Kluyveromyces lactis: one gene and its partners. The protein of the gene in region 2 interacts with the protein of the main gene of each other region in a pairwise test. Links are inferred from orthologs where the notes say so. Each region holds a gene or a part of one and is shown on either strand. Other genes may lie near its edges.

Region 1 (3,921 bases), on a different chromosome or scaffold from region 2:
TATTGAATCCCTGCAATCGGTGGTTCTATTGGAACTGAAATAGGGAATGACGAATGATAATATTTCATGACACCGAATAACACAAGAACAAAGCATATATCTGTCACGTACATTGACGCTACGTCAAAATACTCTAATGCAAGACCGATCTTTCCTTGAATGTTCCTAATAGGTAAAATGCCTTCTGGTATCATTGTCAGATACTTCAAAATGCCTCCTGCGTTTTGGGTGGCCGTAACATTGTTATCTCTTTGAAGTTTCTTCAACATTTGATAGTAGATAGAGATGAATACTATTTCTAGTCCGGTAAAGATGGAGAAGAAGTTCGATCTTTCCACTATTTGGGATAACAAGTTGGAAGCTTGAAGAACAGTGGGATTGGGATGCATGATAAAGTAGACGTATGGTGCAAGAAGAGCCCATTTTATTAAAATGATGTAGGATTTCAATTTGGACACTTTGAACTTGTAATACTTCAAGACTTTCTCATCAACAAAATTAGGGAGCATCTGTGTAGCAGAAGCAGTAGTATTCGTATCGTTGTTTAGCAAAGAACTGAAAAGGTCCGGTGTACTGGCATCTGGTGATCCATTTTGGAATCCTCCACCTTGTTGTTGCATCTTAAGCAACTGTTGGAAAAGGGCAACCTCAGGATTCGTTTCAGCGGCATCAGTTTCAGAATTGTCCTTGTTACCGGGAATACTAGAAAGTAAATCTTGAATCTCTTTGGTAGACTTTTCAACTTCTTCGTCACTCACATTGGATGATTTCTTGTTACCTGACGGAGTAACTTTTGGCTCATCAAGAACAGATGTTGAAGACAAAAAGCTATTCTGCTGTTGACCAGTGATCTTGTTCAACCTGCTGGAAGCACCTCCGTTGGAAAACTTCTGTTGCCTTCTTTCCCTCAACAATTTACGTTTCTCAGCATCAGACAATTCAGTAGCCATCTTGTAAACTCCAAATTCTGTGTGAATTACAGCTCAATTCGGGGGAAACTAAAGTAGAATTAGATCGACAATCAAAATAAGAAGATCAACTCCCCTGAATATTCGAACTAAATACAACGCAGGTGCCTTGTAAAACGATACCGAGTGACTGGTTTCAAAACTAACCCTTCACATTGTATAGGATGTTTGATCAATCCGCTTTATCTTGACAGTTCCCACGAAATTGATGGGAAAAAGAACAATGTTACCCGGAAAGTATCGCCAATACCAATACTATTTGCTACTCAAGATCTATTTGATATATATAGATTTAGGCTGTGTACTTTGCCACAATTTGATCGAAAGTCTTGTTATTTTCAAGGTCGGCAACACATAGTGGGTGAGATGGTTTCAATTGTTGCAATTCCGATCTCAATTCGTTTGCATTTCCACCAGATAAGATGGTGTACGTAATCTTATTTGCAAGTAGATCAGGCTTGTACGTTTGTGCTTCTTGTTTGATATCGTAGAACTCGCTTTCTAAGAGGTCGATGATTGCTTTGGATTCAGGCAAATGCGATTGTTGGAGGTGTAAATTCAATAGGCCTAATTGAGTCTTCCAACTTGGGAAAGTTTGAGACAACTCTTCAAAGAAATAGAAATTGGATCCAGTGATCTCTTTACCCTGGTTGAAGTTGATGTATGACTCTGCAAGATTCAAAATTATTTCATCGTCGTTCGATTGCTCCTGAAGTGCTTGGAAATTTTCAAACATAGTCGAGGCAATGGTTGGTTGATTATCCAACAAAGTTATTTGGATGGCCGTTAACAGTAGTTCCGGGGTTCCTCTTGTTTCATCGGAGTCAATTCCTTCAACGGCAACCTCCAAAGCAGTTTTAAACTCGCCCTTTATAGTCAATGCACTTGCTAATAAGTTCAATGCAAATGGAGATCTGCCCGCCTTTTCAACGGTTTGTTCTAGTGCAGTGATTGAGCCTGTAGGTTTGCTTAAAAATTTATAGTAAGCCTCAAATACAGGCCCAAGTGAGCCAGAATCAGCACTACCCTCACTGAACTGGGACAATGCAATCAATGATCTATTTCTGTAGTAAGTCAACGCCTCATCTTCAGTTTTGTTAAACTTAGAAACTTCGTTCAACGCTTCTTCATAGTTACCAGTATAAAACTGCTGTTTTACAGTAAAATAGTCCATTTCTTCTGAGTTGATATTTTTTTCTCAACAAATCTGACGTCGGAAAACTTCAATTAACCGTTATCGTGTATTGAAAGCGACTTTACTGGCTCATTAACGGGTCTATCTCACACGTATCCTTTAATATTGAGAGTCCATATGCTATCTTACTTTGATCCACCATGCGAATTGTCCAAAACTGAAAAACTGACAGGATCAGGGTAATGGATGTTTTTCATTCACGTGATCTTTTTTTTTGTATTTTTCCTTTCTCGAATAATTCTCGAAGGTGTGGATCACCATATGGCGTTTATTTAAGGGATTGAGAGTATTTATCAGAAGAAATTCAGAGCCAGTTACTTTGGACGTTTAAACGATACGGGTTGGAAAAGGAAACAGATTCAGTAATTAACAGTACACTTCTTACGACCATTGGTTAATTCCGGATTTGAGATTTATATTTAAAACGTCTGAGTGAGAGAGAGAGGTTAGCAAGAATTTTTTCCTTCTTAAGACGAATCACGACTTGGCCTAGATTTATCTCAGACTAATTTCATGGTGAAGAGTCAATCCACGTTAATATATCATAAAAGATTTATTTAACTGGATCTTTAATTAAAAACCTGTCATAATGTCCGGTTCAAGTGACAGTTCACATGATACCACCGTTAAGGATATAACTGAGGATGAGCAGTTCTTGAGGATAAGAAGGCTGAACGACAACAACCATGGGAAGAGGAAGTCTTTGCATGAGGAACAGTTGGAGGATGCTGTTCTCGATGAACTTGGATCTCCGGACGTTCTTTTCAACACGGTCCAGCCTAACGACACGGTTATCTTTAAGACTAGAACCACCTCCGAACAAGGCGACAAACATCTGCATGTTTTCATGCAGAAATTGAAGGTGAAGGAAAAGAACAGATATAAGAAGGATACGAATGAAATGCAGTCCATGACACGAGATGTAGACTGGGGCTCTAGAGGTAGTATCATGGATGAGATGGTCAACAATCCGCTTAGATCTCATTTCAATGGGCCAGCAATAGACGAGAAATATTCTAGAGTAAAGGCAACAGCCAGATCAAATACGGTGAGGATAGATGACAATAATACTATTGAAATTGCAAATGAAACTATAGCAACAGACTTTTCTGGATTCTATGTCTTATTTTGGATGGCAGTTGCGTTCACCATCTGCAAAGTGACATTACAATATTACGAGGAACATGGTGATTTTTCACAGTCAATTATCTTGCGATACATGACCATGAATCTTTGGAAAGTTGCGTTATATGATATCGCAATGTACCTGACTAGTTATTTTGCATTCGTCATACAATATTTGTGCAGAAAAAATGTCATCAGTTGGAGACGTACAGGGAGAGATATTATTTCAGTTTATGAGGTGGTATTTCTATTCTCCAATATCTACTTACCAAAAAAGACCTTCCATTTCAACTGGATCGCCCAAATATTTTTATTTTTACATTCATTGGTCTATTTGATGAAGATACATTCTTATTCCTTCTATAATGGTTATTTGTGGGATATTTCATCAGAGTTGGATTATGCAACATCTACCCTAAAGAAACTGAAAAAACTCAGTTCTCCACAACCAGAACTTGATATATTGCAAAAGTCAATAGATTTTTGTGAGTTTGAGATAAGATCTCAATCATCAACGGTCAGGTTCCCATTTAATGTCTCAGTGAAGAACTTTTTCGAGTTTTCTTCGTTCCCAACGCTTGTATATCAGATAGAATACCCACGCACAAAACGTATAAGATGGTTTTACGTTTT
Region 2 (5,483 bases):
AAACTCGAGGCAGCAGAGGAAGCTAATATTAGTAGGAAACATTCATTCAAGGATAAGATATTGCGTAAAATGTCATTGAGGAGAAATAAATCCACTTCGTCCAGGTTAACCGCTGGTAATAGACAAGCTACCGTCACTGCTTCGCATCTTTCCGGTGACTCTAGCTCAGAATCAGAAACGCCAATCGTTAAAACTATTAAAGGGACTCACACAAGAGCAGTGTCTGAGGCAGAAAACGGACTAATAGATAACAGTAGTGATTTTGATTTTGTTACTGACACACAACTCGATACTCCAACAGCTTCACCCCATCGTAAAACTTCGATAAGTGATAGCATAAATTTCAATAGTACTACGGATATGAATGCTACATCCTCAACAGATATTTTCCAACATAACAATAACTCCTACTACAAGTTGTAAATATGAGTGCCGTTTCGTTTCTAAACTCGTATATTATATAAACTTTTCATCGTATTAAACAAATGTATTATCGATTTTTGACTACGGGTGCACATATTCAAACAATTCATCTGAGACGTGCATATTATCCCAATAGTTAAGGAAAACTGAGCATTTTTCTAGTACTCGTGTTAGGTTTGCTGCCATTATTTTATCCGTAATACTTAAAGTTTTCCATAACTTAGTTGTGGCCACTTTATTCAATGTCCTCCAAGGTAAAGATAGTTTGTCCTGTTCTATGGTTGAAAGCTGAAGCAAAGGCGAAATAATATCTTTCAATTTTTCTGTTGCCAACGTGAGTTTGAAATTATCTTCTTTATCATAATGATATCTTTCTGAAACTTCAATCTCTTGAAACCAGGACAACTCTTTTGAGGATTTCCTTCTTGAATACCAATCGATGAGAAGTTCTTTTGTGGAAAGTTTGCTCTTGAAGTCAGGTATCTGGGACATACTTGTATTCATGTAATATGAGCTCAAACTAAAGTTAGTCGGAGCCATAGACAAATTCGGGGTCTGTAAGTATGGAACATATGTCTTTGTTTTTCGCTTTGACAGGAGAGTGATGAATGGGATTAATTTCTTAGCCATAACTTCTGACCAGGAATCAGAATAAGTCGATGCATACAATGGCTGAATTGGTATCGAATTAGATAAAGAACAAAATTCCATTGCATTTGATGTACTTATTCCATCACTCTGTAAAGATTGAAATATCGTTTGTTTGGCATCCATATCCACATCACAATAAAACAAACCGCCAACCCAAGTGTAGGGTATAAAAACATCAAATGGACGGATCGCATACTTCTTTCTTCTGGCCATTTTTAAACAATGAAAGTTCTTCAAACTATTATTGGGATTTTCCTGTTCTTTAGATTCAAAAAAACACCACGGTTGGTTCCAATCCTTTACATCATTAGTAAGTTGCTTCTCAGTTTCAAAGACAACTTTACCCTCGTTACAATAAGTTATCTTCAAAGCTTTCCCTGATCTTTTATATAGCTGGTGAAAATAAAATACCCTGTGTACTTTAAATCCAGTGAAGAGCTTTGTATCTCCAGGCAAAGAATCTACTGGAATCGTTGCCCCACTCCATATCTCAAACGTTTTCTTCATATTCATGTTGGCAGAGTTGAAACCTACCGCACAAGCTTTATCAATTGTATGAACAGGGTATAGTGCTTTCCCGTAAGCAAAATCAAAAAATAGAGCAGAACAAAAGAGAATCAACAACCATAGTTGACCTTTACTCATTCTATAACAAACCACACAACTGCTGTAGCTTCTAATAAAATGAGACTATCAAGACAAATAGCAGTTGTTCTGCTGAATAGCCTAAATCGCGCCCTTTGTCGAACAAATATAATAATTAGTAATATTCTTCAACTTTAGCTTTGAATACAAAATGGAGAAGATTGATGTAATATTAGGGGAAATAAGTCATATAGCTCGTAGTACTCTCGAGCCGAAACGGTTCAAGTTGATGCTTTATTTATGTGACACTGACACTGACATCAATATCATAATAACATTACCCGGTCCTATGCCATGTCCATCAACGGCTTTGAAAAAAAAATGTTTGAAAGGGGAATTTGAATAATAAAGATCCATTCATGATTTTAACACGTTAGTTGAAGAAAACATCGAAGGTAGAGACCCAACAGAGCGGAAGGAAATTAGCAATGAAACTTGACATCAATGTATGTGACACATTGTGTACTAGAGTAATTTGTGAGGTGCTTTTATCACGGAGAATCGCTGTTGAACGTTAGCAATTGCATATTAAGTATCTTAGGCGTTTTTCTGGTATCAATACATTTATGTTTTATGTTTTGATTCAACAGATTATATTTCTTCAGCCCTTATCAGCAACTAAAAGAAAGAGCTTTTACTAACATTTTTTTCATCTATGGTGACTTTATTTGTCTTTAGAAAAAGCTCAGTGCCAGAACTGACAGGGTTAAGGGCATTGACTTTCATCCTGAGGAACCTTGGGTTTTAATTACCTTGTACTCAGGAAGAATTGAGATATGGAACTACGAGACGCAAACGCAAGTGAGATCTATTCCATTATGTGATGCTCCAGTGAGAGCTGGTAGATTCATTGCAAGAAAGAACTGGGTTGTTGTTGGTTCCGATGACTTTAAATTAAGAGTTTATAATTATAACACCGGTGAAAAAGTGACCGAATTCGAAGCACATCCTGATTATATCCGTTCCATTGCTGTGCATCCAACGAAGCCATTCGTTCTGACAGGTTCTGATGATCTGACTATTAAGTTATGGAACTGGGAAAAGAATTGGGGCTGCCAACAAACCTTTACCGGTCATGAGCACTTCGTCATGTCTGTTGCATTCAACCCAAAGGACCCCAACCAATTTGCCTCCGGTTGTTTGGATCACACTATCAAAGTTTGGTCGATTGGTCAAGATGTTCCAAATTTCACCTTGAAAGCACATGAAACTAAAGGTGTGAATTATGTCGACTATTACCCGTTACAAGATAAGCCTTATTTGATTACCACTTCCGATGACGGTACCATCAAGGTGTGGGATTACCAGACAAAATCTAATGTTGCTACTTTAGAGGGACATATGGCTAACGTGTCATATGCTGTATTCCATCCGACTTTACCTATCATTATCTCAGGTTCCGAGGATGGAACTCTCAAGATTTGGAATGCAAATACATACAAACTAGAGAAAACGTTGAACATCGGGCTTGAAAGAAGTTGGTGTATCGCTACTCATCCATCTGGTAAACGTAATTACATTGCATCGGGTTTCGACAATGGTTTCACAGTTCTATCCCTAGGTGATGATCAACCAAAATTATCTTTGGATCCAGTTGGTAAGTTAGTTTATTGCGGTGGTAAAGCATCAGCCACTGACGTCTTCTCTGCCATCATTAGAGGTAATGAAGAGGTAGAAGAAGGCGGTGCCCTTCCTTTGCAAAGCAAAGAATTAGGGTCGATCGACGTTTTCCCACAAAGTTTGAAGCATTCCCCAAATGGTAGATTTGTCACTGTTGTTGGTGATGACGAATTCATTGTGTACACTGCTTTAGCATGGAGAAACAAAGCTTTCGGCAAATGCCATGACTTTGCATGGGGCCCAGATTCTAATAGTTATGCGTTAATCACGGAAACGGGTGCAGTGACCTACTACAAGAACTTCAAACAAGTATCTTCTTGGTCAATTCCGCTTGATTACGGTGTCGAAAAAATCTTCCCTGGTTCAGTATTAGGTGTCAAAGCTGACGGCTTCGTATATTTCTTTGATTGGGAATCAGGTAATCTAGTGAAAAGAATTGATGTCGATGCTAAGGATATAATCTGGTCAGATAATGGAGAGCTTGTTATGATCATCAACAAAGACCATGAAACAGACTCTGCTGAAGAAGCTAATGCTTACGCTCTGTTGTTCAATAAGGATGTTTACGATGAGGCGGTTTCAGCTGGAAGTATTGATGAAGATGGTGTAGAAGATGCGTTTGACGTATTATACGAAGTTTCAGAGGGTATCACGTCAGGTAAGTGGGTTGGTGATGTCTTCATTTTCACCACCCCAACAAATAGATTAAACTACTTTGTTGGTGGTAAAATCTATAATCTTGCACATTTCGATAAGCAGATGTACTTATTAGGTTATTTGCCAAGAGATGATAAAGTTTATTTGGCTGACAAAGATATCCATGTTTATGGTTATGAACTATCTATTGATGTTTTGGAATTCGAGACATTGGTACTCAGAGGCGAACTAGCTGAGGCCAAATCATCCGTACTACCTAATGTTCAAGGAAAAGAAAACTTGCTAAAGATCTCTAGATTTTTGGAGGGACAAGATTTGTTTGAAGATGCCTTAGAAATTTCACCAGACGCTGAGCAGAAGTTTGATCTAGCTATTAAATTAGGCCGACTATCACTGGCGCAAGAAATATTGTCCGAGCAGGAAAGTGAGAACAGATGGATTCAATTGGGTGATGCTGCCTTAAAGAAATTCAATTTCACTTTAGCTTTGCAATGTTATGAAAAGGCAAATGATCTAGAATCCCTTTTCTTGTTATATTCTTCATTCAACAATAGGGAAGAGTTGGTTTCATTGGCAAAGAATGCTGAGACTTCTGGTAAGTTCAACCTAGCTTTCAATGCTTATTGGGTAGCAGGTGACATAGCTGGAGCAAAGGACTTGCTATTAAAATCTAATAGGGTGCCAGAAGCTGCCCTATTAAGTTTAACATACGGGGAATCGGCAGAATCCATCAACACTGTAGTAGACGTATGGAAGCAAACTTTGATCAATGACGGTAAAGCCGCAATTGCTGAAAGAGTTGGAGTTGTCGGTAAGACAGAAGGTTTTCCATCAACGAATACACATACCTTACTTGATTTAGATACACCAAGCGAGAGCATAAAAGAAGCGGCTCCTGTAAACCATAAGTCAGAGGAGGATGTCGCAGTTGAAGAAAAAGCGTTGGATACCGAGGAAAATAAGGATGAAGATGAAGATGAAGAAGCATTCAAGGATTCATCTGAAGAGCCTCAAGGTTCAAAAGACGATGATAAACCCGCTGCAAAGGCGGAATAACTGTACGTTCCCCAACTCCTAAAAGAAAAAATGAACTACGATAAATTCATAATCCGTAAATAATGTATTAATATGCTAGTATATTAACATGAACTAAACGATTACAATCCGTGAGTCTTGAAGATTCTATCAAACTGTTTAAAATATTTACAAGTACAATTATTCCTCTAAAAACACCTTCAATTTATCTATATCAGTTTTCTTCCCGCGAGCCACGAAATACAGTTCTTTTGATTCATTTCTCGATGCATTGGGTTTGAATCTGTCGACTTTTTTGAATACCTTTTTAAGTCTCTTTTCAAGAAGGGTATCTTCGCTTCCAGCATATAATTTACAAGTGAATGAACCTCCCGGTTTTAATAGGTCGATTGCTACAATTAATGCAGCATCACATAAGTCCATCGACATATAATGATCTTTACTTTGTATGC
Region 3 (3,903 bases), on a different chromosome or scaffold from region 2:
CAGTAAAGGGTCAAAAGAACAGACTAAAATTCAAAAAAGGATCCAGAGCTGGCAATGAGGATGATTTCAGTGATGATGAACAGGAAACCAAGCTACCAAAAACAAAACCAGCTGAAAAGGGAAGAATTGGTAAAAAATCCAATGGTAGATTTAAAAACAAGAGGAGATTATAAATCACTTTTACCTGATATGCACTGCAACGCCCTAGCCCATTTATCAATTTGATAGTTGTATATAGATGTATAGTAGAATAGACAAAATCGGAACCAAAAGATTGTTACATGTGATTGATTTGAAAACAATCGAGTGAGAGTGCGATTGTTTTGTCGTAAACATGAACTAATTTTGTGTTAAACAAATTATATTTATATATCGTATGCGTGTCCAAAATCCAAAGATGCCCTTCTTTCAAATGTATTTTGCATGTCCTCCATTTCGTCTAACTCTGTGGTAACTACATTGCCTAAAGTTAAGCCTCCCGTTCCAGAGGTCTCAAAATCATAATCCGTTTTATCAATATCGGTGTAGTCTTGCTGATCTTCCTCCGTATGGAGGGGTTCAAGTAAATCGTCAATATTCTCATCTTCATATGAAACAACTATGTTTTCTAACTTGTTATTTGGGTTACCGATAGGTAACTTTGAGATGAGTCTTTTCAGAACTATTTGCTCTGCTGCGTCTTCAGTACTTTCCTCTTTTCCTTCTTCATCTTCGTTAATTTCGATTCCAACTGGAATGCATGAATTGGTAATGATAGGTCGACTTCGGCTTAGTTTAGAGTATTTTAATCCAGGAATTGACGGTAACGAAATGAGATCTTGAGGAAGTTTCCCCGACTTCCTCTTCGCAAGTTCTAATTTTTGTGATGTCAACATGAATTGTATCCAGTCATCCATATCCCCGTTGTTTATCATTGCTTCCACCAATTCTGTCTCATCATCTCCATCGTTAGGCTTTTTGTCCGATGTATTCAGCTGGTTGATATACTCCGGAATCATTGACAATGGTTTACTAGTTTTATCACCAACTTTCAACAGGTCTGGACTTGGGGTACTGATAACTCGTGCTTCTGTTGTTGCGGGATCTTGAAGTAACCATCTTTTAAACTGTTGCATACCTTCATCGCCTGCCACGGACGGGTTTTCATCGTAAACATCCAGTAGGTTCATTGGTTTAAATACGCCGATATTGAGCATTCCTTGGGTAATATCTTGAAGGGACACTTCTTCATCTAAATCACGGCGATCCAGAGTAAGTTTCCGTATTTCTTGAATCATCAGTTCTAGATATCTCACATATAAATCAGTAAAAAGATTAACTGTCCCCATTTTGGCTCTATCGAAGCCATGTGCCCTTAAAAGGTGTATCATTGAAATTCGCAGCAGCGAAAAGTAAAAACTTTCATCAGTGGTCATAATTGTGAGGAGCTGAGTAAAGCAATAACACTTTGCTTGCTCAATGCTTAGAGCGTAGAATATACAAAATACTGCAAAGTCTTTGCAATTGGCCGGTATTTAACTTATGATAAATAAATCAAAGTAAATACTGCTTAGTAAATCAATCAGTGTCCTCGAAGCTCAGTACTGGTTGCATTCTGCATCGAACGAACCCCACAATAGACAGTTTTCGTTAATGTATAGTATTTGCATGGCTAACCTACTTATCAGACAGTAAAAGTTACAAGTTCCTTCTGTGTTTTCCATTACCCGGAAACAAATCACGTGATAAGAGATTCGATCAAACACTTGCTGTTTGGCGTTACTGGAGCATAAATCCGTATTCAATGATATCAACAGGCTTTCATTGCCATGGAGCTTTTTACATGGACAGCTTTACAAGACATCCAAAGAAGGCTACTGATTCTAATTACAGGAATGGGCAATGGTTGAGAGCTGAATTCTGCCTCTCTCGAGCGCAGTTCCTATTTGTCCTATATCTTGTCAACTGCAAATTTGGAATTTTCGCGTACCGCCAAACCAGCACTTCCCTCCTGAGACAGTAAACCATTGCATCAGTACTGAATAACACGAATAGCATACCCTGGAAGTAACCAAGAAGAAAAACATAAACAACATGGTTAACTTATCTCTATACACAGTTAAAGCTGTGTTGATTTTGGATGGAGAAGGAAGAAGACTTTACTCGAAATACTTCCATCCACCACACGAAGAAATTTCTGCAGATTCTCTTGCATCCAGCTTAAAGAAGCAAAAAGAGTTCGAATCTAACCTATTTGCTAAAACTCATGGGCAGAATTCAGACATTATGATATCAGACGATCTATTAGTTATTTACAGAGAATATGTCGATGTTTCGATATATCTGATCGGTGCAATCGACGAAAACGAAATTGTTTTGCAAGAAGCATTCAACGGGTTCAAAGATTCCCTAGAATTGATATTGGATACAGGTATTGACAAGAGGAGTGTTCAGGAACATTATGACATGGTGGTTCTAGCAATTGATGAATTGATTGATGATGGTATTATCTTAGAAACTGATCCAGCCACAATTGCCTCTAGAGTGACGAAACCGCCTTCAAAGGATATCCCATTGAATATAGAATTGAATGAAAAGGGTTTGCTAAGCGCGTGGGGCTTTGCCAAGAGTAAATTGGCTGAAAGATTACAGCAGGGCTTGTAAGCTTCTCCTCATTTTCCAGATTTCTTTTATAATCAGACACATATGTTTACCATCGATATGTAAATACTGTGTGAATGTCTTTGCCTCTTCTAATAAAGATGAAACTAAGATAAATATAAATATGAAATACAGTACTTTCACTTTATATGCTAATTAGTTGATTTTAATATGACAGCGTGAAAACTATTCGATTGGTCAAACATATCTCTGAATGATAAGAATTTGCTTGATATTTTTTGTCATCATTTTTTAGACTTCTTACCTTTCGCCATTGATTGCTTTGATTTATGTGATCTGCCTGAGGATGCTTTGTCGTTTCCACCTGGGATGGAAATCTTCAATTTATCAGAACAAATAATAGGAACGACATCCAAAGTTTTGATTAGCTTTATTGTTTCATGTTCTCTTGGCCAATCTAAGTCTTTATCGTACTCCGAACTGTCGACAGTTCTATTCAAGAAGTAATGTAGAGTTTCATTAATAGATTTGCTCTTCTTTGCAGTGCCAGGCTGTATTTTGACTTTATACTTATTTTTAGTTAAAGCAGCCCAGGGGGCATAGACAGGGATAACGTCAGCTATTTTATCATCTTTGGAAATACCGGTTTTCAATTGATTCAAAAATTTTGGAATATCAACTTCGACCTTTTCTGATTTGTTAAACTGCAAGATGCGAGTTTGCTCTTGGTTTTTACGTATCCGCTTTTTAAACTCCCTCTTTTCGGCTCTTTCCATCTCTTCAAGTTTTTTTTGCTTCTCTCTTTCAATACCTTTTAATGTTCCAAGTGCTTCTAGTCTCAATAATCTTTCTTCTTCATCTTGGTCAAAGTACTTCTTTTGGATTTTTTTCAATTTCCCTCTCTTACCACGAACCGCTGTATTCATATTTTCAACAATTGAAGTAGCTATAGTCTTACTCTCATCAAAATCCTCTTCACCTTTGGATAAATCACTATTTGAGAGTTTCTCGTACCCATCAGTGGCCTCTTCTCCTGCTAAAGCCACTTCATCGAAATTGTTGACATCGAACCCTAGATCATTAATTTCTTTTGAAATAACGTTTACATTATTATCAATTTGGTCGACTGGGTTTGTTTCCGGCTGAGAAGTATGACTTGTATCATCGTCAGATGCTTCTAAGTCACTATTTTGTTCATACTCACCCTCTTTTTCCTCGCTATCCTCTGTCTTTACTTTCCACACAAGTCCTAATCCCATCACTAATTGTGCTGGTGGCAACATGTTTTTAGCTTTAGGTTGT

Evidence for each region.
Region 1: the proteins of SEC27 (region 2) and SEC28 interact in binary tests that used the Saccharomyces cerevisiae proteins (3 or more experiments, as listed by UniProt). The link is inferred for Kluyveromyces lactis from reciprocal best matches to the Saccharomyces cerevisiae genes SEC27 and SEC28.
Region 3: the proteins of SEC27 (region 2) and RET3 interact in binary tests that used the Saccharomyces cerevisiae proteins (3 or more experiments, as listed by UniProt). The link is inferred for Kluyveromyces lactis from reciprocal best matches to the Saccharomyces cerevisiae genes SEC27 and RET3.

The regions. Positions count from the first base shown.
Region 1 is NC_006039.1:798,041-801,961, reverse strand, and holds SEC28 (coatomer subunit epsilon), read right to left. Parts: upstream 2,143-3,921; coding exon 1,261-2,142; downstream 1-1,260. Other genes in the region: GET complex subunit GET2, read right to left, coding at 1-950; ARE2 (sterol acyltransferase), read left to right, coding at 2,753-3,921. UniProt on the Saccharomyces cerevisiae protein: The coatomer is a cytosolic protein complex that binds to dilysine motifs and reversibly associates with Golgi non-clathrin-coated vesicles, which further mediate biosynthetic protein transport from the ER, via the Golgi up to the trans Golgi network.
Region 2 is NC_006038.1:168,499-173,981, forward strand, and holds SEC27 (coatomer subunit beta'), read left to right. Parts: upstream 1-2,147; coding exon 2,148-2,165; intron 2,166-2,397; coding exon 2,398-5,052; downstream 5,053-5,483. Other genes in the region: KLLA0_B01914g (transient receptor potential ion channel family protein), read left to right, coding at 1-423; KLLA0_B01936g (uncharacterized protein), read right to left, coding at 505-1,719; MRM2 (21S rRNA (uridine2791-2'-O) methyltransferase), read right to left, coding at 5,212-5,483. UniProt on the Saccharomyces cerevisiae protein: The coatomer is a cytosolic protein complex that binds to dilysine motifs and reversibly associates with Golgi non-clathrin-coated vesicles, which further mediate biosynthetic protein transport from the ER, via the Golgi up to the trans Golgi network.
Region 3 is NC_006042.1:2,524,260-2,528,162, forward strand, and holds RET3 (coatomer subunit zeta), read left to right. Parts: upstream 1-2,073; coding exon 2,074-2,643; downstream 2,644-3,903. Other genes in the region: mRNA-binding protein RRP12, read left to right, coding at 1-173; TAF3 (Taf3p), read right to left, coding at 366-1,415; RQC2 (Rqc2p), read right to left, coding at 2,886-3,903. UniProt on the Saccharomyces cerevisiae protein: The coatomer is a cytosolic protein complex that binds to dilysine motifs and reversibly associates with Golgi non-clathrin-coated vesicles, which further mediate biosynthetic protein transport from the ER, via the Golgi up to the trans Golgi network.